4 linked regions of the Mus musculus genome follow. Each later gene encodes a partner of the first gene's protein in a complex. Links are inferred from orthologs where the notes say so. Each region holds a gene or a part of one and is shown in the gene's direction. Other genes may lie near its edges.

Region 1 (7,279 bases):
AAAGCAATCAATTTGCTGTCTGAGCTATCTCCTTGGCCCCTGGTTCTATATTTGTTTCCCACACTGTCCACACAATGAGCACCGGCTCCAAGCTCCAAGCTTTGCTGTCTGGGGGCATCACAAAGGCTGTGAGTTGAGGCTGGAAAGCTAGCTCAGTGGTTTAGAGCACTTGCTCCTTTTACAGAGGACCTATGTTTGATTCCTAGCATCCATGATGGGTGGCTCCACATACACACACACACACACACACACACACAGACACACACACACACACGCTTATAAGATAAAGATTTTTTTAAAAGGCTGTGAGGCTAGGGATACTGTACAAGATGCCTGTAGTGACCAGCAGCAAGTGGCTACTGACAGTTCCCTGAGCTGCCCCTGACAATGGTTGTGGATCTGCCTTCATTAATGGTTTCATGAGTCTAAGTTTAGGATCAAGATAGCAGGCATTACCTCCAACCATCCACACAGTCTTCTGACTAAGTACCTGAAGGTAGCCGGCTCCTGCTGTAGGTCAAACATCCGGGCAAGGGGGCCACATGTGTCTACATGTAACACCTGTAAAAGAGAATTAGATTAGCTTCCTGGTTAGATCACTGTACTCTGTGGTACCTGAGCTGGCCAAGGTCACAGTATCCAGAAACAAGCAGGTACAAGAATGGGGGAGATGTTAGGTGGAGGCCTGGCCCTGAACTCCCTGTAACCATTCTAATGGAGGATAAAGCTTCTACAATGAGGATTCAGCCAGGGTCCCTCTTGGTCACCCAATGCAAATAAAGACATGATCCAAGTCCTACTTCTACTCCCAGAGGGGAGCCTGGGAATGCTCTTGTCAATCATCTGTGGGCCCGCCTCTCCTGCAGGCACTCCTTCCCATACTTTTTTTTCAGGTGCCTCTACACCTCTGGTAGGAAGTGCATAAACTGTTTCTCCTTAAAGATACAGAGGTCTGTGTTTGGCCCTAGATCTTATACTCAAGAGACAATGGCTAAGGTAAGAACTCTGTTCAGAACATTAAGTATATCCTTTCTTCTTAGTCCTCCTCCGTGGCCTCCATGCAGGTTTGGCCGACCCCTAACTCCTGTACTTCCTGCCGTTCCCAGATACATTTCTCTAGTTAGAGTGATCCCCTTCCACTGCACTTCATGACTTATTGCTTACTCTGTCCTGTATGTCTTGTCCCACAGACGTGGGTCGCCCAGGATCCCCCTAGCACAAAGGACATGGAGAGGAGGTGCTAGGCTCTCACCTGAGGGGTGGGCCAGAGTGCCCAAGACTTGGGGCGCAGCACTAGGCCCCTCCACCGCGGCGGTCGCTCTCTCAGGTGAGGGCTTTTTTTTTTAATTATTATTTTTACCACCGCGATGGGGTTGCAGGCCTGGCGCCATGGCAACGGGGGCGGGGCTCATTTGAATACCCAAATATTCGTGAGCCGCGGGCATCCGGGGCTTCGGTAAGATGAGCCCCGCCCCCTAGCAACGGTTGCCGGGACACGCGGCAGATCCGGTGGAAATGCTCCCTAGAGTAAGAGACAAGCCGGACGGCTGAACGCAGTGAAGGCACTCACGGTGGTTCAGAGAGCCGTCCGTGAGAGGCTTCTGGCCAGCTCTCGGTTATCTGCCTGCTAGATGAATAGAACAAGCCGAGCTTGCACCCCGGGCGGCGACCGGGGTGAGCGTGCAACCCCAGGCCTGCACGACCTGAGTAAAAGCCTGAGTTTTTCTGAGGACGTGCTTATTCGTTTCTTTGAAATTTCAAAAAGTGTTGAAAACATGTCATTTGCGTCTGACACAGATGTACCCTACTTGCTTGAGTGGGTGGAACACTTCATTTCGCCCCAATACCAACTTTTCTGACTTTCGGGGTCGTTCTTCAAATGGACGCAGTATGAGCTTCTGCAGTGTTGGGACCTCGAGTTTGAGAGCGGTAGGGGGGTCTTCTCCAAAACACGAAGAGCGCGGTGTGATGGGCCGACGCTGCCCCAGGATGGAGCCTTTGCTCCACCTCGACCTACGAGAACAGGCAGCTAGGGGTTCCGGCGAACTCTGTCTTCCTCTGTTATTCCGCGTCCGCGGTGCTGACTGTCCCCGACACCAATACCCGGTCGGGATGACCTTTCCACTCGTGGGCCTTTGGGCCTTTGGTGAGGCTGCAGGGTGGAGGCTCTGTAGTAGGTCCTCAACGCAACCCGAGCGTGCACCAGTTTCTCTCCGGAGAAATCCCGGGCTCGTAAGCACGGTCTCGGTCTGTCTCTTCTGCACCTAGGCACTAGACATCACTGTTGAGTGCAGGACCCAAGTTCCGGCACTGCCTTCCCCGCGGCTCCAGGAAGCCCCGCCCAGCTTCGGCTTCTGACGGATGGGTTGCTCAGCCAACCACAACAGGTCGCGGTGCGGAGGAGTTCGACCAATCACGGGCCGCCTCGAGTTGACGGACGGGCGTGGGGCGGAGCGGGGCGGGGCGAGCGCGGGCCCGGCCAAGTCCCCGCCGTCCGCTCCCGGCGCCCGCAGCCCGAGCCGCACCCGCCGCGGACGGAGCTCATGCGCGGGCCCAGCCGGCGCCCGTCCGCGCCCCCGCCCTGCCCCGGCCCCGGCCCCGGCCCCGGGGGCAGTCGCGCCAGCAAGCGGTGAGTGCGGGCACGGGGTGGGGCGCGGGGCGCAGGTGATCGGTGCTTCCTTGCTCCTCTCGGCCCGGCAGCGTGCCTAGCGTCCGGCTGCCCGCCTCTGCGGCCGGACTCGCTCTGCCTGTGGCCGTCCTCCCAGCGAGGCGCCGCCCGGGCCTCCGGAGACTCTGCGCCCCGCGGCCATCACGCTCGGGCCTCGGGGCCACAAGGACACCCGCGTTGGGCCCCAACCAGGGCCTTCTGCTCCCAGCCATCCCTCGCGTTCCTGTAGTCACCTGCTTCCCACACCCTCAGCCGTTTTTCCCCCCCTCTGTGAAAGCTCCCTGGCCCCTTGTGGAAGGTTTGTCTTAGTGGAGGGCAGGGTCCTTCTCCAGCCACCCTCCCCCCGCTGCCGGGACCGCGCCTGGCATGCAGTAGGCGCTCAGTAAATAGTTGTAGGTTGCACCCACATGCCGGCGGGCCAGAGCCGGTTGTAGGCTGGCATTGGCCTGCCTGGGCACGCCGAGGCCGCCGTGGCAGGACCTGTTTTTTGGGGGGTGGCCTCAGCCCTCAGGCGCCTCCAGTTGAGGGTTTCTGCCTACCTAGCGACTTCTAATTTGGGTGCGTGGTTGGGAGAAGCTCTCAGCTGTCAGCCCTGCCTTGGGGGCCTCTCCCTGCTTCCTCACACAGCCATTAAGTGCTGTTTGAGGAGGTTGGGGGGTGGGGGTGGGGTCCTCCCTTTTCAAGCTGAAGGTGCCACAGGTGATCAACTGGGCCACTGGCAGGCCTGCCTGCTCAATGCTGGAGAGGGCCCTTGGGTCAGGCATCTATTAGCCGTCTCAAGTGGCAAGGGCCTTGGCTAAGTGTGCTTCTCATTGGCAGGTGGGGCAGGAGCTCCTGGATTGGCAGCCGCTGTAGAAGCTATGACAGAATACAAGCTTGTGGTGGTGGGCGCTGGAGGCGTGGGAAAGAGTGCCCTGACCATCCAGCTGATCCAGAACCACTTTGTGGACGAGTATGATCCCACTATAGAGGTGAGCTCTGCCTACCTGCCAGAGGTGGGCTGTGGCAGTGGTCATGGGTAAATGACCAAACAGCCCAGGTCTTGTAGGTGTTATGGGGTATGATCCATCAGGGTATGAGAGGTGCAAGGGTGTAGGCTGGTTCTGTGGATTCTCTGGTCTGAGGAGAGGTGAGACCCCACCCCCACCCCCCACCCCCACTAAGCCGTGTTGTTTTGCAGGACTCCTACCGGAAACAGGTGGTCATTGATGGGGAGACATGTCTACTGGACATCTTAGACACAGCAGGTCAAGAAGAGTATAGTGCCATGCGGGACCAGTACATGCGCACAGGGGAGGGCTTCCTCTGTGTATTTGCCATCAACAACACCAAGTCCTTCGAGGACATCCATCAGTACAGGTGAGCCACCTATGGCTAGCCCGTGAGCCCGTGGCACACGTGAGGAAGGTTCCGTGTGCACACTGAGGCTTTATGTCTTTTTTTGAATGTCCTGGACACAGTCATGCCTGCAGCCTGCTAGCTGGCTCATATCCACCCCATCCCCCTCCAGGGAGCAGATCAAGCGGGTGAAAGATTCAGATGATGTGCCAATGGTGCTGGTGGGCAACAAGTGTGACCTGGCTGCTCGCACTGTTGAGTCTCGGCAGGCCCAGGACCTTGCTCGCAGCTATGGCATCCCCTACATTGAAACATCAGCCAAGACCCGGCAGGTGAGCCTGTTTCCCTCTCCACAGCTAGTCAAGGATTTACCGCACCCCACCCCAGCCAGGGAGCAGAGCTCATTGCCGCTCTCCCTCAACACAGGGCAGCCGCTCTGGCTCCAGCTCCGGGACCCTCTGGGATCCCCCCTCCCCCGGGACCCATGTGACCCAGCGGCCCTCAAGCTGTAAGTCTCCCAGACCGCAGGGCTGTGAGGGAGGCAAGGGCCAGGGTCTGGGCTTATGCCCTGCAGTTCTGAGTTCACATAGCTCTAGGGCAGGATGGGGTCCCTGGAGAGAGCTGCCCTGAGCCAGGCCGGAGCGGCGACCCAGGGGCCTTAGTTCTTCTTGTCCCCAGTGTCCTGTGGATACTGGCTAGTTTTAAGCCCTTCAGTGTTGTTAGGCTGTTCAACTTGAGACGTACTGGGGGTCTGGGAGAGTCCTGAGTTAAGTGGCTCTGACTTTGAGTGATACTCAGGAGTGAACCCTATTTCAGGAGAGTGGCCTGTGCCTTTTGGATGGCCAGGGCCCAGCTCCCTATTTGTGTTGGTTTTGCAGCTGAGGAAGGGAGCCTCCAGCGTTGGGGTGTGACCTGATCTAGGCAGGGAGTTTCTTACCCAGACAGCACCCCTTTTCTCCCCAGAGTCCTCTCTGATCTAGTCCCTCTGTCCCCAGGGCGTGGAGGATGCCTTCTATACACTAGTCCGTGAGATTCGGCAGCATAAATTGCGGAAACTGAACCCACCCGATGAGAGTGGTCCTGGCTGCATGAGCTGCAAATGTGTGCTGTCCTGACACCAGGTGAGGCAGGGACCAGCGAGACGTCTGGGGCAGTGACCTCAGCTAGCCAGATGAACTTCATATCCACTCTGATGTCCTTGCTCCCCCAATTCTGCCAATCCCCCCCGCCTGCAGTCAGTCATGTCCTTTGTGCCCGTCCCGGCACAGGCTCAGGACATGGAGGTGCCGGATGCAGGGAGGAGGTGCCGACGGAAGGAAGGAAAGAGGCGGGAAGGAAGGAAACGGTGCTGGAGCCAGGCCAGTCCAGGGATGGTGGACAGATGTGACCAAGACCTTCGCATGGACAATTTGAACAGACTGTCATGAACTGTCCCTGTTGCCACTGGCACCCAAGTCCTCCACCCCTCTCAGTTCCCTCCGGGCGCCTGCCTGTGAGGGCACACGTTGCATCACAGTAAATTATTTGATGGTCTTGACTTGTCTCTGGCTGGAAGTAGGAGGTGCACTGCCTGTGGCCTCACAGAAGATGCTGGGCACCTGGGGTCCATCATCTGCCTTGCTCCTGTGCTAGAAGAGGCTGGGGAGGCTGGCCTGGGACCTCGGACTATACAGCCCTTCCCTTCTGCCTGTCCCAACTGTCTTGTGTTTGCTGCAGAAAGTTATAGGCAACACAAGGATAGTCAGGTGATATGACCTATTGTCCTTTAACTAATGGGAGGAGGAGGGCTCTGAGAGTAAGAGGGTATCCCTTGTCTCCAGCAGGAAACACATTTCCTGCATTCTGGGATCCATGAAATACAGCCTCAAGAGTGACAGAGTGTAAGATTTGCCCTGACCCAACATCCTGCAGCCCTCTGACCTGGGATGGAGATTCTAGGACTATGGAAATAGGGCCCTGATGTTATCTGTGTAGCCTCGGGTCCCACTGGTGCCTAGGGCCTGGCATCACAACTCCCTGAGAGGGTAGAAAGTGCCTCACTGGTTGCTCCCTCTTCTCTGAGGTGTACAGATGTTCTTCTCCAAGTCACCTGTATGGCCTTGAGAGGCACGTGCAGGTCAGATGGCTGCTCACTGCGTGCTTCCTTCTGGCTCTAGTCATGGCTACAGGAGGGTCCATCTGCTTATCCTGCTCCTCTTCCTGGCCACTGGGGCCCATGGTGGGTGCCCTTTATACTTTCCAGACTCGAGTGGAATTGGGTGAAGTCCCTCTGTTTAGGGCACTTGAAATGCAAGGAGCCTCCAATAGACATGATGTAGAGCCTGCTGCTGAGTGGCTGGGCAGTGCGACACCACAGTTGCTCTCTTCCACAGCAGCCAAATGTTCAGCTTCCCTTGTCTGTGTGTATCTGGGGCTCCTGAGGTATCATCTGGAGCGTCAGTGACACCTTCGGAGCCTTGTTGGTCATGAACTTAAGGTGGGTGGGAGATAGTGTCTGCTACACTAGGAGTTGTCCCTGGCCCTGTTTGAGAGTTTTAGCAGGCTGGGTCCATTCTGAGCTGTGATTGTCAGGGTAGTCAGGAGCTCAGTGTTGCTGTTGGAAGCAGGAGGGTGGAAAATATGGGGGCAGAGCTTCTGAGGCCTAGACATGTCCACCCTGGGAAGGGACTCAAGCTGGAGCCAACCTGGGAAGCATGACACACTTTATCCCTTGCTCCCTAACAGAGGCCTGATGGTACTTCAGTATTCGCCCAGCCCGAAGCTGCAAGTCCTACAGAGAGACTGTAGGAAGTTTTCAAGGGTACACAGTTGGACTCTGGGCTGGGCCCTAGGAAAGGTCATTTGTTGTCCATGTCCTGCCTGTGCCCAGGTCTGTCCTGTTGAGGCTACTACATCTCAAAGTCAAATCGAGATCCTGCCAGGAAAGTACCCTCAACTCTTAGGTGTGGTGTGGGGCATGGGCTTAGTACTTGGGACAGTACCTGGTACCCTGCCCAGCTAACCACACCTGGCTGGCCCACCCTTCATGGCTGGCTCACTCAGGGCTAGAGCTCAACAGTGTGATCCGTTTGCCAAGGTCTGGACTACATACCTGAGGAGGGACTTCTGTGTACCTCGAGGACTGGTTTTTTGCTGTGGTCATGACCACAACCTTATCTTCCAGGATGTAGATGTCCCAGAGCTTCAGGGGGGACTTCAGGAGGCCTACATAATACAGCTGGCATGAGAGGATGTCACCTGTTCAGGTTGGGACCAGTGTGACCTATGCACAAC
Region 2 (7,159 bases), on another chromosome or scaffold:
AAGGCCCACTGTGAAAACTAATCTTGCCTCATGCCCACCATCTGGTTTAGGTGTTTTGGTGTCCTCAGCCCTGTTTGTAACATACCTTGACTGGTCATTTATTAGCTCATAAAGAAATCAAGGGCAAGATGCTTGCCTCATTTAATTTTCACTCAGTAAACATTTGTTGGGGAAAAAAAAAAGGACTATCCTGAGACGGAGCCAAGGCCAGGGAGTCAGTTCCCCCGTGATGCTTCCCATTCCTGACTACAGCTGGAAGCAAAACAAAGATCATTGCTTCAGTGGCCTGTCTGCAATCCCCAGCCTTCTGAAACGAACTCAAATAAAAGATAAGCTACTCCCAGCAGCCGTGTGTGTCTATAAACAACAGAACCTGAAACCATGAGGTCTCAGACTGGATGTTAGAGAAAACAGCACAGCGATTAAGGAAAACTTCTGGAGTCAGGCTTCTTAGATCTGAATCCTTCACTATTCCTTGATTTAGCTTTTCTAGGCCTTGATGTCCAGTTTCCCAAGTATAGAGAGCAGAATTTACTTGTATTATCTGTTGCTATACAGCAATATACCACAAAATTTATGGTGAAAGACAACGCGCATATAGTATTCCATATAACTGGGTAGGAATTTGGGAGAGGCCTTATATGATTCAGGGTCTATCTCTTTCTCCTCCCTTTCTCCTCTCTTTCTCTCACTTTTGATTTTTCAAGACAGGGTTTATTCATGTAGCCCTGACTGTCCTAGAATTCACTGTGTAGACCAGGCTAGCCTCAAACCCACAGAGATCTGCCTGCCTCTGCCTCCCTAGTCCTGGGATTAAAGGCGTGTGCCTCCACTGCTGATGGCCGAGCGTTTCTTATGAGGTTGCAAATGCTGGCTGCCACTGTAATTACTGGAAGCCTTGACTGAGGCCAGAGGAGCCTTTCTTAAGATGATGCACTCGCATGCCATTGTGGGGGTGAGGGGGTGGGAGGGTAGGGGAGTGGGGGGGTGAGGGGGTGGGGGGAGGAGGCTCAGCAGCAGCTGAGCCAGAGCCCTATGACTTACTCCCAGAATTCCTCATGTTTCCTCCCTCATCACATGGGAATTTGTTTGACTCTGTTAGGGTTGCATGCAGGTGCTGGCTGTCTACTCTACAGTATAATATGCAGCACTAGGAAAAGGTTCAATGTAGTTAAAGAAAAAGGACGAAGCCTTTAAATTAGCTAAGCTATTTAAAATACTACAGCTTCATAAATCAAAGTCTTTTATGTCAACTTATATTCTACTGAACAATTTCTTACTAAAATGAAACCAAAGAGATATTTTCTTTAAGTGTGTACTTTGTGACAGAAATGTTGACTAGAGATGCATTTTGGAATATTTAAATCCACTGTTAATTTCTTTCCTTTTTTTTTTTTTTTTGGGTCTCATATCTTCTTTGTTTACCTTTTGGTTTTGTAATTATTAATGATTTTAATTGTGTGCTTTTCTTCTAAGTGATCAGAGTGTACACCTTTAGTCTGCCTTTAAACAACCACATAATGATTCCTATAGAAATAACCTTGTCGGATTACTGTTCCAGGTCCCTGCTCTTGACCTTTGTTCCGCCCAGACAATTCACTTCAATGTTTATAAGAAATCCTACAACACACAGTCACCATTTTTGCTTTAAATGATGAATTATCTTGCTAAGCGATTTAAAAAATGAAAAAAAAACCACACATATTCAACACATTTAGGCCTTCTATTCCTTTATAGGTAGAATTTTTCTTCTGCACAAAGGTCTTCCTTTATTACTTTCTGTAGTTCAACCCTGCTAGAATTATTTTGGCTCTGCATGTCTGAAAAAGGTCTTACTTCATCTTCATTTGTTGAAGACATTTCTTTGCTACTGAATTCTGCTTAATAGTTTTTTTTCTTACTCTATTCTTTCCTTGCTTGAATTGTTTCAGATGAGAATATATTGTCTTACCTTTGCAACTCCTGTCTTATGTCCCTAGTGCCTTTGGCCATTCTGAAGTTCTAGCTTTTTCCCTTTTACATACACACACACACACACACACACACACACACACACACACACATACATACACACACATACATACATACATACATACATACATACATACATACACACACACACACACAGACACATGCACACACTATTGGGTTCTATTTGGGCCTGAAAACTCTCTAAGCAGTGAGCTCAGGTATTTATTTACACTGTTCTCACTTTATTTTTATTTTGCTTCAGATATCAACATTTTGTTTTTACTCTTTATCGTGTAAAAACTAGTATTTTTTCTTTTTTTCTTGCTTGGGTTTTATTTAATCCACTAGGATAAATCTGATTTTTGTACTCCGTTTTTGCTGGAAGCAGAAGTTCTGTATTGTCAAGCCAAAATGATACATGCTTAAAATATTCAGACTAACTTTTGATTGCAAAACTCTCTCCTCAGAATTGACCTATAGTTTTCATTAACTTAAAATTATCAACTCGATTTTGAAAACCGATTTAATGCCATAATGTTTGACATTACCTCTTTTCTTACAGGGCACAGAAAACACTCAAACTGGATTTTTAAATCCCTGCACATTAACAATAAGCCACAAGTCGCAGAATGTGATCCCGAACCAAATCCTTCTAAAAATTAGCTTCGGGCAACAGAGAAAAGAAGAAAACGGACCTGCTGTTTTGAAATACTGGTGTAAAACAAACTGTTCTTGTAGGAAATTACAACTGGAAAGTTTTCTTTGGCGCTTAATATACCTGAATGAAAGGAACTGTCAAGCTTGCTTCGCACAAAGACTGGAATTATCTGAGATTATCTGTTGTCTGGACATGATCGCCAGGGAAGGGAACACAGAAGAGTAGCTGAATGAACGACAGTGGTCAAGATGACGTCGGAAGAAATGGCCGCTTCTGTCCTCATCCCTGTGACTCAAAGGAAAGTGGCTTCTGCCCAGTCGGTGGCAGAAGAGAGGAGTGTAAAGGTCTCAGATGCGGGGATTCCTCGGGCACGTGCTGGCAGGCAGGGTGCGCTCATCCCTCCTACCATCTCACAGTGGAACAAACATAAGGAAGAGTCGTCTAGAAGTGATTTGTCCAAGGTCTTCTCAATAGCGAGGGGGGAACTAGTCTGCGATGAGAATTCCAACGAAGAGGGCTGGGAGGAAAACGCACCGGACTCCCCGGAAAACCACGCGATGAACGGCAACAGTTTAGTGCAAAGCCACCAGCACCAGTTTCCCCGGAGCCAGCTTTGTGAAGCCCGTGACTCTGTCACAGAAGACCCGTGTTTGCAGCCTGGAATTCCTTCTCCCCTGGAAAGGAAGGTGCTCCCTGGAATTCAACTGGAGATGGAGGACTCTCCCATGGACGTGAGCCCTGCGGGAAGTCAGCCTAGGATCATGGAGTCCAGCGGACCTCACTCTGACCGCAACACGGCGGTATTTCACTTCCATTATGAAGCTGACAGGACAATGTCGGATGCTTTTCATACCCTGTCAGAAAACCTGATTTTGGATGACTGTGCAAATTGTGTTACTCTTCCTGGGGGGCAGCAAAATAAAAATTGCATGGCGTATGCTTGCAAACTGGTGGAGTTGACAAGAACCTGTGGAAGTAAGAATGGGCAAGTCCAGTGTGAGCACTGTACCTCGCTGCGCGATGAATACCTGTGCTTCGAAAGCTCCTGCTCAAAGGCCGATGAGGTCTGCTCAGGTGGTGGCTTTTGCGAGGACGGCTTTGCTCACGGTCCTGCTGCCAAGACTTTTCTGAACCCTCTGGAGGATTTCTCTGACAATTGTGAAGACGTAGACGATTTTTTTAAAAGCAAAAAGGAGCGGTCCACGTTGTTAGTCCGAAGGTTTTGTAAAAATGACAGGGAAGTTAAGAAGTCTGTGTATACTGGGACCAGAGCCATCATGAGAACTCTGCCTTCTGGCTGTATTGGGCCAGCTGCTTGGAATTACGTTGATCAGAAGAAAGCTGGTCTCCTATGGCCTTGTGGGAATGTAATGGGAACTCTGTCAGCAATGGACATAAGGCAAAGTGGGAGCCAACGTCTGTCTGAAGCCCAGTGGTGCCTGGTAAGAGTTTGGGTTTCTTCCCATCACCTTTTTTGGTCTTATTTTTCTTCCTTTCCTTCACCCTCCTTTAGGAGTTTTGGATAGAGGGTCATACGGATATAGGCCTGGAACTTGCTATGTGCATGGCCTAGCTTGTCCTTGAACTTGCGATCCTCCTGAATTTTGAGATTACAGATGGACCTGTTTCCATTAGTTCAGTAAACATGATTTTTCATTACTTATATTGCTGTAACTAATGGACAAGATAAAGCAAGATCTGTCAAAATATGATTCTTACAGGAGTCATTTGTAATTATTGGGATTTAGATATTACAATTCATAGGTCTCAAGTCTGAGTTGACTCTGCAGCAATATAGGCCATGCAATACACAGAGGCCTATGTAGGGAGTGGAGAAATTAGAGATTTTCTGATGACAGAAAAATGGCTTTGTCTATTAGCTTTGGCGAGGCATTCCCAAGTCTTTTTTGTGTTTTGTGGTCCACTGTGGCCTTTAGTTTTACTGTCCTGAAGGAGCTTAAGTCCGTCTTTCCTCTCTTCTCCCTTAGACTTATTTATTTATTTTTGGGGGTGAGTGTGCTGTGTACGTACCTCTTCAATGAAGTCTACGGATGTAAAATAACACTTTAAATGCACCAAATGCAATGGCAAACATCAGTAAAGGAGAAAATTATGTTGATTTGCATTCATGAGACACAAGATGATTTTGAAGCTGTGAGATGGTAATTTAAGTGCATCTTTCTTACCATACTGCTCATTGCTACCTAGGAATGTGATAGCCTCTTGATTTAGGAAATTCCTCTAATCTAGTCAAATAGAGGCAACCATTCGCCCTAAATAGGCATAATATTGTAAGATATCCACCATGAATGACCATGACATGATGTGAAAAATCTGTGTTATTTTTATTGGTGACACAATCAGTTACTTCTGCTTCTATCTAACTTTGTTGTAAAAGTTCACAATTAAAGAAATGCTAAATTTCTACCTAAGATGAATGAGAATAGTCTTTTTTTTTTAATTCCCATCCAAGTTTCCGGGTCCTCTGAATGTTTTACATGGTTGGTTTTCTCTCTTTAACCGTTACACACCCAGGTGACCTTCTCTGGACTGATCTGCACTGCTGAAGACATCACTATATACTTCGCCTTTTCGTTGTTTCTTTTTCTTCTTTTCTTTCTTGTGAAGAGTCTCATGTAGTCCAGGCTGGTCCTTAATTTACTACATAGCCAATGATGGCTTTGAACTCCGGATTTTCTGTTTCTAACAAGTGCTGGGATTACCGGATTGCACCACCAGCCCTATCACCTATCACCTATCTTCTATCCTTGCTAAACATTCCTGCTTCCTTCAGCGATTCTCTCTGGGAAGTTGTTTCTAGAACGCTCACATTTCAGTTTTTCACACTTCTTTATTAACCTAAAGGAAGCTTCCGAGGAAGTTAGTGTTGGCTGAGAGTTTTAGATTGATTATCAGATTGACTATGCTTCCTTCTGGCTCCCCCAACCCTGAGGCTGTGGGGCAGCACCTTCTAAAGCCTTCACTGGTCAGGCCCTGGACTGGTTAATTTACAGTTGAAAGAAACCAAACTGTCTCCTCCCTGCTTTGTCCCTTGAGGCTAGGGGCGGTCACCACAGCTCAGCTAGAGTGGGGCTCAGGAATGTCTCTTCCCTTTGTGTCAGCTGCCCTCCTGGACGCTGTGAGCATTTTTATTGGCACTTATGGTATAGGTGGGCATGGGCTGGCTCTTTTTCTTTCTTTCTTTTTTTTTCTTTTTTCTTTTTTTCTTTTTTGCCACACTGTCTGAAAGTCATGGGTGTTCCCTAAAGTATAGCCTCCTCTTCACATTTGTCCTTTAGAGTCTGGTGAAATGCTTAGCAAAATTAGCACAGCTGAAATATATTCACTTGCCTTGGGTCTTGTGAATTATGCCTTTCATCTGAGGATGTGGTACCCCAGCGGTATCCCAGTCATACACTCCCATTCTGTTTTTCAATTTCTTCATGTGTATTCTGCCTGGCTGCTCAGCCAGGCTGTAAGAACCCTGTGCTCTTTTGTCTATATAATGCAAACATAGTTCCAAATGCATAGAAAACAAGGACTATGACATGGTTGGAAACAGACCCTAGAGATGATCCACATTTAAATCATGGCTTGGAATCCATAAGTGATTGACAGGTCCTAATTACCTTTCAAGGGAACCAGGCATAAAGGTGCCATTGTAGGCCACTCTGCTGTGAGATGCTATCCTCGGCACAGTGCTGAAAGCAGAGAGTGCTTCTGTCCTCCCGACCTTGAGCTTCTTACTTGGTTGTGGACTCATTCTCACCTGGTCCTTCTCTTTGGTGGCCTCTCAGGGAAATTTATAGCAGTATAAATTCTAATGTTCAGATGACTCCATATCTGCAGTCTTTGCGTTCATTGACGTCTATGTGATACAAATTGAAAGTATTTGGAAAACAAAATTTCTAGTACTGTAGTGTGGTGATAGAGAGCTTGCCTATTACACATACAGCCCGGAGTTTAAATTCCAGTAACTACTGCCTCCCTCCTACCCACAAATATTTAAACAGGCCTGACGCCATAGATCTATAATCTCAATTACTTAGGAGCCTGAGGCAGAACTATTACTTGGTCAGGGCCACATTGTGAGACCCCATGTCAAAATAAATACAAGAAAAGCCTGAGGATATAGCTTAGTGGTGTGGAGTTTGCCTAGAATGTTAGAGGCCTTAGGTTTAGTTCCAAGTAACACACACAAGCACACACACCTCTTATTAGCATATACAGCTGTGTTTTCTGGTCATTATTCCCCACGCAACATAGCACAGCACAGTAACTATTTACAAAGCATTTACATCATGTTAGTTGCATTTACATTATGTTAGTAACCTAGCGGTGGTTAAAAGTGTATGCAGGGGTGTAGCATGCACATATTAACCAATTTTATATAAACGACTTGAATACCTGAAGTTTTGAGTTTCCGTGGCTGTCCAAAGAACAACTGTATTACCTCGGCCATGTTGCTCAAACAGTTCTTCCGCTGCATTGCTGGCATGTGTTATTCATTTAATTAGTTCTTTGGCATCA
Region 3 (7,100 bases), about 110 Mb from region 1:
AAAGAAAGAAAGAAAGAAAGACAGACAGACAGACAGACAGGCAGACAGGCAGACAGAGAGAGAGAGAGAGAGAGAGAAAGAGAGAGAAAGAAGGAAAGAAAGAAAGAAGGAAAGAAAGAAAGAAAGAAAGAAAGAAAGAGAGAGAGAGAAAGAGAGAGAGAAAGAGAGAGAGAGAAAGGAAGAAAGAGAAAGAAAGGAAGAAAGACAGACAGGCAGGCAGGCAGGCAGACAGAGAGAGAGAGAGAGAGAGAGAGAAAGAAGGAAAGAAAGAAAGAAGGAAAGAAAGAGTATTCTGGAGTCAACTGACATTTTTGGTTTTGGATTGTGGGTAGGGTTAGATGGGGGTGGGTAGCTCCAGTCTAGATCAGGTTAGCCTTGAACCCATAGAGATCTATCTGCCTTAGTTGCCTGACCCTACCCAAGGCAGGGATTGGAAGCAGCACCAGCCTCAGTTAATGTTCTGTTCCTGACGTGAGCTCCGCTGGGGTTTTCTCATTCAGTGACGATCTGTCAACTGAAACACCAACGTGTGCTCTTTTTGGGTACTTCAATTAAAGATATGTAAAGCGGGCTGGTGAGATGGCTCAGTGGTTAAGAGCACCGACTGCTCTTCTGAAGGTCCTGAGTTCAAATCCCAGCAACCACATGGTGGCTCATAACCATCCATAATGAGATCTGACGCCCTCTTCTGGTGCATTTGAAGACAACTACAGTGTACTTATTTATAATCATAAATAAATCTTTAAAAAAACATTATTAAAAAATATGTAAAGTATGACAGACTTAGATAAAAAAATGGGCACAAAATTATACAGAGAGAGAGAGAACGTTTGAGACAAAACCAAGCAATGTAAAGTACCATTCATAGCAGTCTAAGAGGAGTAATGGAAAGAGAAGGGGCTTTGAAACAGTCATTCTGGCTGGGCATGGTGGTGCCCACCTTAAATCCTAGCACTCAGAAGACTGAGGCAGAAGGATCTCTGAGTTCGAGGCCACCCTGGCCTACAAAGCTAGTTCCAGAAACTCTGTCTCCAAAAACTGAACATCAACATTTTTTCTGCTTTGAAACAGTACAAAGGAGCTGTGAAGATGGCTTACGGTGCCGGGCATGGTGGCACACGCCTTTAATCCCAGCACTCAGGAGACAGAGGCAGGCGGATTTCTGAGTTCGAGGCCAGCCTGGTCTACAAAGTGAGTTCCAGGACAGCCAAGGCTATACAGAGAAACCCTGTCTTGAAAAACAAACAAACAAACAAACAAAGATGGCTTACGGCTTACCTCTATCCGTAACATTTTTTATTATAAAAAGATAACCTTGGGAGTAGAGGGGGAAGCTTGGTTAGTAGGATGCTTGCCCGGAACATACCAAGCCCTAACTTCAGTCCTCATCACTGTGTGAACCAGGCACAATTCCAGCACTCAGGTGATGGAGGTAGGTTATCCTCAGCTACTCAGCTACAAGAAGAATATGAGGTTAGTCTGATCTACATTAAAAATTAACACACACACACACACACACACACACACACACACACACACACACACACCACTACAACAAAAAGCAGTGCAGTGCAGAGTCAATATCAAGATGAAAACCAAGAGGCTGCCCTGCTCTTGCAGAAGACCTGAGTTTAGTTCCCAGTACCTGTGCTCTGTGTGTGACTCAGGACTACCTGGAACCCCCGCTCCAGGGGGATCTGATGTTTCTAGCCTCCCCAAGAGCACCAAACACACCCACATAAAGACCCACACATACACATGATTCCAAGTAAAAATAAAATACAGCAAAAGGGGAATATGCCTTTAGAAAATAATAAGGAAATAAAACTCCCCAAACCTTAGAGAAGTATATGGTGCACAGTAGGTGCTACATAAAGGATTTTACAATGAGGGTAATAAAGTGAAAATGTTTTCCAGGTATAAACGGTGTCCTTCAAACCAGCCCTGCTGTTCACACCTGTAATCCCAGCATATGGGAGGATGAATCCTGCTTCGTTCTCATTCGGGAGGTTTGCTGCTGCTGTAAGGCCAGCCTGAGCTGTGAGCTTCAGGAGAATCTAACTTGAGAGAAGGAAGGGGGCGGGGTGGGGGGGAGAGGGAGGGAAAGAGGGGAGAGATAGAAAAGCAAAGAGAAATGCAGACTTTTCTTTTGAGCCTGTTTTTACACACTTTTTAAAACTGTGTGTGTGTGTGTGTGTGTGTGTGTGTGTGTGTGTGTGTGTGTGTGTGTGTGTGTGCGTGTGTGCGTGCGTGACAGAGACGGGGGAGAAAGGAAGATGGAGCGATAGATAGCGAACCCGCTGAGGGGTAGGCAGCACCGGAAACCTCAGCAGGCAGGGATCCCCCGTGAGGGGGAGGGGAGCCTTTGGTCTCTCCCCAGCCTCTTCCTTCCCCCTGGCCTAGGGGTGGGTGGGGAGGGGCAGTTCCTCTTTCCTTCCTAAACTCGGTGGACGCTCCAGCTCCCCGGAGCCTGACAATCTGGTTAGGGAAGGAACCTGATCACACTCCTGTCAGGAGCCCCCACCCCACCCCCCCGACCCTCCCCATCCCCTCCAAGAAACATGAACCGGAAAGACATCAAAAGGTAAGAGGACCCTTCCCAAGGAGACCTGGGAGAGCCAAAGTCCTGGCGCCGCTGGCTGTGGGGAGTGGGAGAGGGGTCTTGGGACTCCTCCAAGACCCGCTCTAGTGGAGTCCAAGAATGAGATGCTTCAGGGAGCTGAGCACCTGAGCCTGCGTTACTGCTGCTGTCTCTCCCTGGAGTTTGAGCTGACCTATGTCTCTCCATCCTAGCTCCCTCAGCTGGCTGCCCCTGTCTTCCCCGGGGTCTTCTCTGTTCCCTATTATGGTCACTGCCCCCCACCCTCACCCCGGACTGGAAACTCCAGGCTCCTGCAGGACCGGGTCCCAGGAGAGAGGTTCATGACGTAGGTCTAGGCAGCTTCCCTGACTCTTAAACCACTCCTGGCTGCTCCAGACACTCCCGGGGGCTGCCGGTCTGCAGGTAAGGGGGCAGCAGGATCTCAAACGGATTTCTGTCTCCTGGCATTGCTTGCCCACCTGACCCCTTAAGGAGGGATGGTGCTGGGTCCCCAACCTGGATAGCTCGCTTCCCTGGCATGACCTGATGAGCAAAGGGATTCAGTATAGTGAGAGGATCCTTGCTATCTCATCCTCTGCCCGAGTGGCCTTAGGTAAGTTACTCCAGTACTCTTTCTCAGTTCCCGCTTCTGTCAGAGTTACCTTGGCTACCACTCCAGAGGGTCTTTAATTGCACAGCCACTTAGAGGGCTTGAAAAGCACAGGCCGTTGGACTCACCCGGAAAGTTTTAGATTCTGTGAGACTGTGGGTGGGCTAGCCTCAGATGCTGTGCTTAGGTGGAACGCACAGGAAGATAATCTTTTGGTTCTTGGTGTGGGCACCTAAACAAACAAACAAAAAAAAAAAAAACAAGAAACAAACAAAAAACACAAGACCCTGATCTTTTACAGAGTGCTCAGCCTGCGTTCTAGTCGATGCTGTGCAACAGGTGTGCACTTTATTTAACATTTAACAGCCCCTTTGATGCTGCTGCAGGAGACAAGGCAGATTTTATTGTAGGATGTCCCTGTTTGTGATTTCACACCCATGCCATGCGGAAAGGCAGGCTAACTCCTTCTGTCTTGTTTTGTTTTGTTTGTTTTTGTTTTTGAGGTGGTGTTTTGTTTTTGTCTTTGTGTTGAGAGTTTTGCTCTGAAGCCCAAGCTGGCCTTAAACGTGCAATCCCCCTGCCTCCGTTTCCCAGGCAGCTAGGATTACAAGAGAGCATCACAACGTGCAGCTTTCTTTTCCTATCTGGAGGTCAGCTGCCCCATCAGCCGGGTCCCTTTGAGGATCCAGATGTTCTAACATCTGGGGGAAATCCAAGGATGAGTCTACCTTTTCCTATGAAGAAAGCAAGGGCCAGAAGGACATTGGGTCACTTATTAAAAGGCACACAGCCATCAGAAATTTCTGGAACCCAGTTCTGGATGAGTCTGAAGACTAGCCTCGAATCCTTTCCTCTGGCCCTCCCTTCTTCCCACCACCCCTTTTTCCTCACCTGGGGCAGGCACCGAGGGAGGCATATGACAGGAAAGGTTATTTTTAAACTTTCCTTGAAGCTGCTGTGGCCCCAGGGATCCTGCCTAGCTCTCAGGAGCCTGTGAGAAGGCTCTGGTCTACTTCCTCTCCTGGCTCAAAAAATGTGGGGAGCAGGCTAGAGGCTAAGACTCTTGGGTGTTCGAAAACTAGCTTGGATGAGGGGTATTCTGCCTTGCAGGAATGAATGGGGTGGTGGGGTAGATTCCAAGAGGCCTGACCACATAGGTCATCTCCATTACTGGGACACAGAAGTATCACTTCTATGGAATTGGATTGGGGGGGGAACATTCTGGCTTTGGAAGAAACCTGAAGACCAACTCGTGAGACACCTTGGGAAGTCGTCAGGGGTTGGACCTCGGGTCCTAGGATAAACCCTGGGGGTCTACTTACTGCAAAATTATGATGCTTTGGGACTATATTGTCAAGAGGAAATTTTTGTGGCAATAACGGAGGATAACAGGGGAGAGGCAAAATATGATGTGTTTTCCTTTGTATATGAAACCTAGATTTAAGTGTGTGCATACACACATATGTACATACATACACACATATGTACATACATACACATGTGACAGGAAGGCAGAAGGACATTTGGGAGAGAGAAGAAACCAACGAGATGAGAGAGGGGGTAGATGGATACTAGTACGATGATATATATTGTGTGTGAAAAGTGTCCCATCATTTTGTACGCTAACTGTAAAAACAATAATTAAAAACAAAACGAGGAACGAGTCAGTCGCCCTTGGCCCTGGATCTCTGATCTAAAATATTTTGGGATTTGTCAGCCATGAGTCCTTCATGGGTATCTCTTGAGATCTGATGTGCAAGAACTTTGGTCCGTGGAGTGTACTTAGAGAAAGGGGCTCCCGTGATGCTTCGCGGTGGGCTTTCTGTGTGTACCTGCAGGAAGTCTCATCAGGAATGCTCTGGGAAGGCAGGAGGGCGGGGTCGGTCACGTCAGGCCCGCCGCCACAAGACGTGCCCCACCCCCCGGGAAATCAGCAAGGTCATGGCGTCCATGAATCTGGGAGTGCTGAGTGAGAGCAGCTGCAGCGAAGATGAGCTATTGGAGGAATGTATCCGCTGCTTTGGTGAGTAGCTGGGTCAGCCTCTCCTATCTCAGTCTCGCTGGTTGGGATAGAAAATGGCTGAGTAGGAGGAATTTTCGTCCTTGTGTTAATGATGGGAGAGAGCTAGGTGGCTTACCTTTGAAGGCTGAGGCAGGAGGATAAAGTTCCAGACTTACCTGGGCGATGTGGTGCAGGCCTTCAATTCCAGCATTCAGGAGGCAGAGGCAGGCATTTCTCTGAATCTGAGACCAGGCTGATCTAAATAGCGAGTTTCAAGTCAGCAGGACTACATAGTAATTCGTGTCTTAAAAAATAAATTAAGAAGCTGGGCGTGACGCCGGGCGTGGTGGCGCACGCCTTTAATCCCAGCACTCGGGAGGCAGAGGCAGGTGGATTTCTGAGTTCGAGGCCAGCCTGGTCTACAAAGTGAGTGCCAGGACAGCCAGGGCTACACAGAGAAACCCTGTCTCGAAAAAACCAAAAAAAAAAAAAAAAAGAAGCCGGGCGTGGTGGCGCACGACTTTAATCCCAGCACTAAGAAGGCAGAGGCAGGCGGATTTCTGAGTTCAAGGCCAGCCTCGTCTACAAAGTGAGTTCCGGGACAGTCAGGGCTACACTCGAAAAACCAATAAATAAATAATAGAAAAATAAGAGAGGGACTGGAAAGACAGCTAAGTGATTAAATCACATATCTCTCTTCTAGAGGACCTGAGTTTGGCTTCTAGTACCTACCTCAGAAGGTTCATATCCACCAGTAACCCCAGCTCCAGGGAACCTGATACATTGGCCTGAGACGGCTCCTGCACCCGTTTGAGCAAACACACACACAACACACTTTAAAATAATGAAATTAAATCTTAAAAAGATCAAAGCACTTTAAGCATCTCAACTGTGATTGAAGGCAGGGAGCCAGATTCATGCCATCCCATGCACCCCCCAGCTAAGGAAACGGAGGCATGAGGAAATCATGTTGCTTACCCAAGTTCCTGCAGGGCATTAAAGGTAGAACAAACATGTATGCCATCCCGCCAGCCTGCCCACTCAGTTCTCGAAGCCAGGGTCTATTGTTCAGGGCCCAGGCTGAGAGCCTGTCTTTCCTCCTCCAGACTCGGCTGGCAGCCTGCGCCGAGGGGACCACATTCTCAAGATGGTGCTCACGATGCACAGCTGGGTGCTGCCATCCTCAGAGCTCGCTGCCCGTCTGCTGACTTCATATCCTGCCAGAACCGGGCTCTCCATCTAGAGGGATGGAGGCAGACCTGAAAACACCTGGGAGATGGGAACAGGGGGAGTGGGCGAATGGGAGTGCTGGTAAACAGCCTTGACTAGAACTCTCAAGTATCAGAAGGCTGCCAAAGATGCCCAAGAGCTAAGACAGCTACAGATCTGTTACTTGGTCAGGTAGGTTTGATCCAAGAGACTCAGTAACATGAAACACCTCTCTAAGACCCCACCCCCACCCCAGCCTGATCGCTACCCCAACCCACACACGCTCACTTGGCCCCATTTTTTAAAATCCCATGTAAAGAATGTGTGTGATAGCGAGTGCCTGTAATCCTGGCAAAAGGATCTCTTCTTCAAGTTCAAAGCTAGCCTGGACTGTAGAGTAGGCTTCGACTAAAAAACAAAACAAAACATTACCCAAAATCCCATGCTAAGATGCCATTGGCTGGGACTGGACAGATGGCTCAGAAGGGTATTTGCTGCTCTTTCAGAGGACCTGATTTCAGTTCCTAGCACCCATATATTGGCCGGTGACTGTAACTGCAGTTCTTTTTTTTTTTTTTTTTTTTTTTTTTTTTTTTTTTTTAAAGATTTATTTATTTATTATATGTAAGTACACTGTAGCTGTCTTCAGACACTCCAGAAGAGGGCGTCAGATCTTGTTACAGATGGTTGTGAGCCAC
Region 4 (6,592 bases), on another chromosome or scaffold:
CCATGGCTTCTTACATGCAAAGGAACAGGGAAAGAAGTCTTGGAAAAAAGCTTACTTTTTTCTCAGAAGATCTGGCTTATATTTTTCTACTAAAGGCACATCCAAGGTAAGCCACAGTATTTGGGGTGTGTTATGAACTATCTATTATGCTCTATGACATCAGGTTTGATTTTGTTATGGTGATTACTCTCCTAACTGATGTCGAGAGTTGTTTGAACCCTAGACATCTGCTATAATAGGTTTTAAACGTCTTCGGATTTGCTTTACGTTGAGTCTGTCTATAGCATTTAGGACTCTGGATGCTCTTACTCATATATCAAAGGAATCCACTCCTCCCACTCCAAACCGGGTTTCTTGCTTCTTTCTCATCAAAGGCTTCAGATTTGAAACCTAATGTGATTTTTCCTCCTTCTTTTAAAAAATATTAGTTTCACTCTATGTTTAGGTTATGTTGTGTGCATGAGTGTATGCCTATGAATAACATGCATGCAAGACCCTGTAGAGGTCAGAAGTGTTGGGTCTCCTGGACTTGGAGTTTTAGGCAACTGAATGGGTGCTCAGAACTAAACCCTGGTCCTCTACAAGAGCAGTAAGACCTTTTCTCAACCACTGAAGCATCTCTGCATCTCTGCAGCCCCTGAACCTTAAACAAAACAAAACAAAACTGTTTTATATAACTGGACTCCAGAGGCAGGAAAGTCTATCTTAAAACCTGGAGTAATGGTATTTTAAATGGTGGCTGTCAATAGATAAAATACTATTCTTCTAATCCACATATCAGGCAGGTGAAATGGCTCAGCACTCACTGGCTAAGTCTAACAACCTGAGTTCAAGATTGTTTGAATTCACACGCTGGAAGGGAAGAGCTGACTCCTACTCTTTCTTTGAACTTCACAAGCATGCCATGGTATACACTCACACACACACACACACACACACACACACACACACACACACACATACACAGAACATTAAGCATTGTGAACAACCCTGTCCAAATTGGAACACATTTTATTATCATTTACCAGTAAGCTGTTACAACTCAAAAGATGTCACTGTGTGCCATTGTTCCTAAGCAGGTACTTCTTGACGTCTTTGGAAAGTAAAGCAGAATATTTTTTTTATATTTATTCACTTACTTAGATTGGGTTTTTGAGACAGGTTCTCTCTATGTAGTCCTAGATATCTGGGAACTCTCTCCAGGCTAGCCTCAAATTCACTGAGATCTTCCTGACTCTGACTCAAAGTCCTGGGATTAAAGGCATGTGCCACTATGCCTGGCCAGAATAGACTTGATTTAAAACAAAACAAAACAAAACAAAACAAAACAAACAAACAAACAAAAAACGTTTGAGGAAGTGGAGAGACGGCTCAGCGGTTAAGAGCATTGACTGTTCTTCTAAAGGTCCTGAGTTCAATTCCCAGCAACCACATGGTGGCTCACAGCCATCTATAATGGGATTTGATGCCCTCTTCTGGTATGTCTAAAAACAGCTACAGTATACTCACATAAATACAATAAATAAATCTTTTACAAAAAGAAAATCATTTGTTTAAGAAAAACAAAATGAGGAATTGGAACATGGAAATGCTTTCTTACTGTTGTGACTTTTTAAACTATAATATATTATTCACTGACAGAAACTGATTTGATAATAAAAATACATACTAAGAGCTATATTGATTTAGTTGTCAGAATCTATTAGTAAATGTATAGATGTTTATGTAAGAGAGGAGAAGGAAAGACAGTACTTAAGGCTTTCACTCACATGTAATTCACAGTCATACCTCCTAGCCTTATAGTAGCCATTAGTCACTCCCACACAACATTTACTTCACTGGAAGTGAAAGTATTCAACCAAGACCTCTTCATAGGAAAAATAAGAAACAAAACCAAGATTATCAGGTAGCAGATATATTAAGGTCTTAAAAAAAAAATCACAGTGTTATTATGTCCCCAATTTTTCCTTAGTAGGTTACTTTAGAATTATTTCCATGTGTAAATTGTGTGTGCATATATGCATGAGTGTGAGTGTGTGTGTGTGTGTGTGTGTGTGTGTGTGTGTGTGAGAGAGAGAGAGAGAGAGAGAGAGAGAGAGAGAGAGAGAGCACTGCTGCTAAACACTGCGTATAGGAGACCACCTGGGATCTGGTTAAAATGCAGATATTGATTTAATGGGCCTGGAGCGGGCAATGAGATTTTACCTTTCTAACAAGCTCCAGGTGAGACTGGTTCTGTGGGTCAGTGCCCACACTGCTAGTCGCAAGGTTTTGGAGAACAAATGCATTTGGGCCAGTTTTGATTATATAGTCAACCTCAGAATTAAGCACTTCTCCAAGCTATTAACCTAGCACGGAGTACTATGACCCAGGAATTTCCTATGGCCAGCTCCAAATCTCTCGGGTTTTCCTGAGAAGAAATAGCTGCTCATGATTTCCCTTTGCCCTGACAATCAGACACATTCCATCCCAGGTAATTTCCCTGAACTCTTCTGTGTAGACTTCTCTCCTTTTGTGGAAGAAGATGGCCACGAAGTCAGCTGTCAGCACAGACAGACACATGCGAGGGATGGGTGTATCTGAAAGAAGCAGGATTTTCTTTCTCTCTTTTTCCCATCTTCTCAAGAAGCCAGATTTCCTCCTGTGGCAGAAGCGATCACTCGACACAGAGATGACAGAAACGCTTTCACGAGCCTGGCAGGCTTCTGTTTTCCTCTTTCAGTTTGACACGATGGTTAATGAGAACCGGAAACTTAAAATAGTAAAATTATAAACAAACTACCCCTCGTCAATTTAAATGAAATTGTATGCAGCTCTTGGTTATTTACGAAAATGGCAACCCTGTTTACTTTTGGCTTTGTGTGTGTGTGTGTGTGTGTGTGTGTGTGTGTGTGTGTGACACTGGTGTAGAATTTTGCTTGAGATCATGTTATTTTGGCCGAGGTATAAATTGTGCAATATGAGAAATGCAAAAGATATTGTAGAACTGTGCATCCAAGTCAATGTTCACATATTTTTTTTTCTTTAAGGAACCACGGCATTTGCAGCTTTTCAGTGAATTCAGCACTAGTCACGTTTATATGTCACTGGCAGGAAAAAAAAAACACGGAGCGCCAACTCCCTATGGATTCTGCTTAAAGGTACTGCTTAATGTTTTGATAGATGAGTAAAGCAAGCCTCAGCCTCTTAGGTAATCTTGAGTTTCTTTCGATTTCTTTTGAAAAGAGCTAGAGTTCTCGTATGTATAGGAGAATTTTAGTGGCTTTTATTTCAACAGGTGTTACCTTCGAGATATGCATTAACAATAAATAATATGCTGTGGCCTTCTAGCCTAACAAAGCAGGAGGGCCCCGGGACCTGAAAATGCTCTGTGCAGAAGAAGAGCAGAGCAGGACGTGCTGGGTGACCGCCATCCGACTGCTGAAGGTAATCTCTTGGGACGGGTGGGTGCTTGCGAGATGCTCTGACATCTGTAAGTGTTTAAAGACACATCTACTTTCCAATGTGAAGATCCTCCCATCACCTGTGTGGCTCTAAGGCAAAAAGAAAAATAACCACTGCTCTCTTGAGTCCAAGAGATGAACATACAGAATAGAGTGACTATCCTAATCTACGAGTCTTTTCTGTGTGAAGCAGGTATTCTGTTTCTAGAAATGACTTTTTATTGTTGGTCTCACATATATAGCCAGTGTAGCTGAGTGACAGGACTCCTGTATACAACTTAGTCTGTGTTTGTAAAATTGCCCCAAACCCATAGGGAGTTGTATTTAATTTTTTTTCCCTTAGATATTGCTAATTGGAATTATTTTACATTCTATTGTGTGTGTGTGTGTGTGTGTTCTTTGAGAATTTCCTACATCTTTTGATCATCTGATCATATTCGTCATTCCTCCCCCAACTCTTCCTGGTTCCACCCTGCGTTTCTCCTAATCCATGGCTGTGTATTCCCCCAACCCCTCCATAAAGTCCACTTTCTGCTCTGTGAGTGTTCTTAGATGTGTAGCTTTACCCTGGAGCATGGTCGACACTCTTAAACAGCACTGACACCCTCCCCCGCTCCAGCAGCGACTGCTTTATTAAGTGCTTTGTAGTGTAATGAGTACAGCGGAAAATGGGTACATACATTTAATTTTGAATATGTTTTGATGCATATCTTGTATACCATGTTGAAATTAAAATTTTGTTAGTATAATTTGTTGATGAAACTTTTGAGGAGAGTTAGAATGTTCCAAAGGTAGATAAGAATAGGGAGGACACAGACTGGTTTCTTCCAAATTGTGTTGAAAACACATATTTAGGAGACATTAAAATGACTCAAAAGTAAAGGAACTTGTTCCAAACATAATGACCTGAGTTTGACACCAGAGACCCAAAAGGTTGCTTTTGACCTCCATATGCATATGAGAACTCATGCATGTGCAAATACACAATAAATAAATAAGTAAATAGATAAAAATGCAAACAATAATTTTCAAAAGCACGTTTATTTTTAAAGTATTTATTTATGCCAGTAAATTTGTTACAGCTTTAATTTTCTAATTATAAAAATGATCAACCATTTCCTTCTGAAAATACTGCTTTGTTAGTAATCGTTGTGGAAATTACAAAAAAAAAATGTGTTCATTGAAAAAGGCACAACCCTCAGAATGGGCCTGTTTATACAGTCAGTTCTCAATTGCTACTGAAGTTCAAAAATATGTGGATTATTACTGTTCTTAAATCTTCCTTATAAAATAGAAGTTTCAGCAGATTCTGAGACATTCTTCATAATTCATACTTGATAACTGGTATGATTTGGTAATGTATAAATAATGTATATTATATTAATTATATCATATCACATACCACATGTTATACTAATTATCATGTATCATATCATTTAGTATATTAGCAGAGAAAGGTTTAGATAACTAAGTGTATACTAAAACCAGCTTTCTACAGCATTCAGAAATAAAAATTAATAAAAACTGGGTCTCGTTTGGAATGTTTAGTGTCCCTCATTTTCTTTCAGCTGTGGCAGAAAAGGGAGAGGCCAAGGAAGCTCACTGGCTTCCATCTTAGTTTACACTGGGCCTATGTTCTGGGACCCGTGTTCCTTCCTGTCTTTGTTATGCTGTTCTTACTATCTTTAATGTGTTAACCCTTTCCTGGCATGCTGCATGGGAGTGAGATAGAAAAGAAGACAACAGTGTAGCGAGAACAGGATCATGCCATGCTAGATGTAGAGAGAAGCTTTATTTTGTAGTTTTCAAGGTTTTTTTTTTTATTGAGTTCATCAAGTTAATCTTCATATGAACAATTAATGTTTCACACAGTCAGTATGTTGGGCAACCATAACTTATATTGAGGTCCAAAAGAAGATAGTGTTCTCAATATGTAGTTTCTCCCAGGCCTTGGTAGCCACTGATTTGAGCTGCCTTTATGAGTTCACCTCTCCTGTGACTGGAATGATATATGAACCCCTCTCCACTGGTGTTTGTTTGTCCACTGATAGACCATTTTGGTTGTTTCTATATTTTGACTGGTGGTGTGCTTGCAATTCTATCACTGCCAACTCAGAGGCACAAGAGTCCCTGGAATGTGGTGGCTGGCTGGCCCAGCAAGTCTACAGGTTTGCGGCTCAATGAGAGAGACACATCTTAAAACAAAGTGGAAACTAATTGAGGAAGGCTCAAGGTGTGAACCCTTGGCTTCCAAACACATGTATGCCCACACATGTGCGCTCATCCACATACAAAATCACACATACACACCGACCTATGCTTGCACAGGAGAAGTTCTTTTTTTTTTTCCCTTGGGAAAATACTCTAGTTATTTAACGAAGTATAGAAACTCTGAGGCTTAGAAAAGAGAATCATGGCTTCTGTATTGCACTGTATCCTGGGTGTCAGCTCTTTCCATTTCCATCAATTAGAACTCTGCCAGCTTCTCTCTAGCCTAGTTTGGTGCCTATCTGCCCCTCTGTGGGACAGGCAAATGTTGAGGTGACCCATGCCCTACCCCTCGGCCAGAGTTAAATGCTTTCTAAAGACCCCCAGCAGCACAGAGGCACTGCCAGGACCGGGGACAATACATCTGTGAAGAAAACCGTCTTATTAGTAGATAGCTGGCTTTTCAAGGCTGATAAATAAAGGGTGGTCCAGCAGCGTGCTTCTTGTGAAAGTGTTGGTTTGAGGTTACTATCTGTTCTCTAAAATGAGTGTATCTAGGAATTAAGCCCCTCTGTGTTTATGAAGTTATTGTTGGCTCGAAGTTAAATCTCTTTAGGCCCCATTAATGTCACTCAAACTTGAAATTAAAGTAATAATTTTTAGAAGTAGAGAAATAATTGGATAAAGTGGTCATCATAGAGGATTTTAAAAGTGAGTGTGGGTTTGGATCCATGTTAAAATCAAAATCTTGAGAGCAGTAATTCTCCTACTCCTCTCTGACATTTTTTTTTTCCATTTTTTATTAGGTATTTAACTCATTTACATTTCCAATGCTATACCAAAAGTCCCCCATATCCACCCACCCCCACTCCCCTGCCCACCCACTCCCCCTTTTTGGCCCTGGTATTCCCCTGTACTGGGGCATATAAAGTTTGCAAGTC

The links.
Region 2: the proteins of Hras (region 1) and Plce1 are in contact, whole or in part, in a crystal structure (PDB 2C5L), measured with the Homo sapiens proteins. The link is inferred for Mus musculus from reciprocal best matches to the Homo sapiens genes HRAS and PLCE1. Residues at the interface, in NP_001123914.1 of Homo sapiens: Ile24, Gln25, His27, Val29, Glu31, Asp33, Ile36, Glu37, Asp38, Ser39, Tyr40, Arg41, Glu63, Tyr64; in NP_057425.3 of Homo sapiens: Phe2138, Pro2146, Glu2147, Gln2148, Pro2149, Arg2150, Thr2151, Val2152, Ile2153, Lys2154, Lys2171, Tyr2174, Ser2175.
Region 3: the proteins of Hras (region 1) and Rasgrp4 are in contact, whole or in part, in a crystal structure (PDB 6AXG), measured with the Homo sapiens proteins. The link is inferred for Mus musculus from reciprocal best matches to the Homo sapiens genes HRAS and RASGRP4. Residues at the interface, in NP_001123914.1 of Homo sapiens: Glu3, Gly12, Gly13, Gly15, Ser17, Ala18, Ile21, Asp33, Pro34, Thr35, Ile36, Glu37, Tyr40, Arg41, Asp54, Leu56, Asp57, Ala59, Gly60, Gln61, Glu63, Tyr64, Ser65, Ala66, Met67, Arg68, Asp69, Gln70, Arg73, Thr74; in NP_733749.1 of Homo sapiens: Tyr228, Gly232, Val234, Val244, Asn248, Ser251, Asn288, Met291, Ala292, Gly295, Gly296, Cys298, His299, Ser300, Leu327, Ala328, Ser329, His330, Asn331, Asn332, Tyr333, Ala334, Arg337, Leu351, Gly352, Val353, Leu355, Lys356, Val359, Ser360.
Region 4: the proteins of Hras (region 1) and Grb14 are in contact, whole or in part, in a crystal structure (PDB 4K81), measured with the Homo sapiens proteins. The link is inferred for Mus musculus from reciprocal best matches to the Homo sapiens genes HRAS and GRB14. Residues at the interface, in NP_001123914.1 of Homo sapiens: Glu31, Asp33, Pro34, Ile36, Glu37, Asp38, Ser39, Tyr40, Arg41, Tyr64, Met67; in NP_004481.2 of Homo sapiens: Val109, Lys111, Asp116, Glu117, Thr118, Ser119, Arg120, Ala121, Leu122, Asp123, Lys140, His142.

What each region holds. Positions count from the first base shown.
Region 1 is NC_000073.6:141,189,190-141,196,468, reverse strand, and holds Hras (GTPase HRas), read left to right. Parts: upstream 1-2,464; 5' UTR 2,465-2,629; intron 2,630-2,660; exon of another isoform or gene 2,661-2,966; intron 2,967-3,487; 5' UTR 3,488-3,528; coding exon 3,529-3,639; intron 3,640-3,848; coding exon 3,849-4,027; intron 4,028-4,128; exon of another isoform or gene 4,129-4,178; coding exon 4,179-4,338; intron 4,339-4,432; coding exon of another isoform or gene 4,433-4,514; intron 4,515-5,001; coding exon 5,002-5,121; 3' UTR 5,122-6,535; downstream 6,536-7,279. Other genes in the region: Lrrc56 (leucine-rich repeat-containing protein 56), read right to left, coding at 457-466. UniProt on the Homo sapiens protein: Involved in the activation of Ras protein signal transduction. Ras proteins bind GDP/GTP and possess intrinsic GTPase activity.
Region 2 is NC_000085.6:38,521,382-38,528,540, forward strand, and holds the start of Plce1 (1-phosphatidylinositol 4,5-bisphosphate phosphodiesterase epsilon-1), read left to right. Parts: upstream 1-2,815; 5' UTR 2,816-2,877; coding exon 2,878-4,071; intron 4,072-7,159. UniProt on the Homo sapiens protein: The production of the second messenger molecules diacylglycerol (DAG) and inositol 1,4,5-trisphosphate (IP3) is mediated by activated phosphatidylinositol-specific phospholipase C enzymes.
Region 3 is NC_000073.6:29,132,512-29,139,611, forward strand, and holds the start of Rasgrp4 (RAS guanyl-releasing protein 4), read left to right. Parts: upstream 1-2,421; 5' UTR 2,422-2,561; coding exon 2,562-2,584; exon of another isoform or gene 2,585-4,994; coding exon of another isoform or gene 4,995-5,029; coding exon 5,030-5,214; intron 5,215-6,299; coding exon 6,300-6,405; intron 6,406-6,531; coding exon 6,532-6,594; intron 6,595-7,100.
Region 4 is NC_000068.7:64,926,734-64,933,325, reverse strand, and holds part of Grb14 (growth factor receptor-bound protein 14), read left to right. Parts: coding exon 1-106; intron 107-3,029; coding exon 3,030-3,140; intron 3,141-3,330; coding exon 3,331-3,426; intron 3,427-6,592. UniProt on the Homo sapiens protein: Adapter protein which modulates coupling of cell surface receptor kinases with specific signaling pathways. Binds to, and suppresses signals from, the activated insulin receptor (INSR). Potent inhibitor of insulin-stimulated MAPK3 phosphorylation.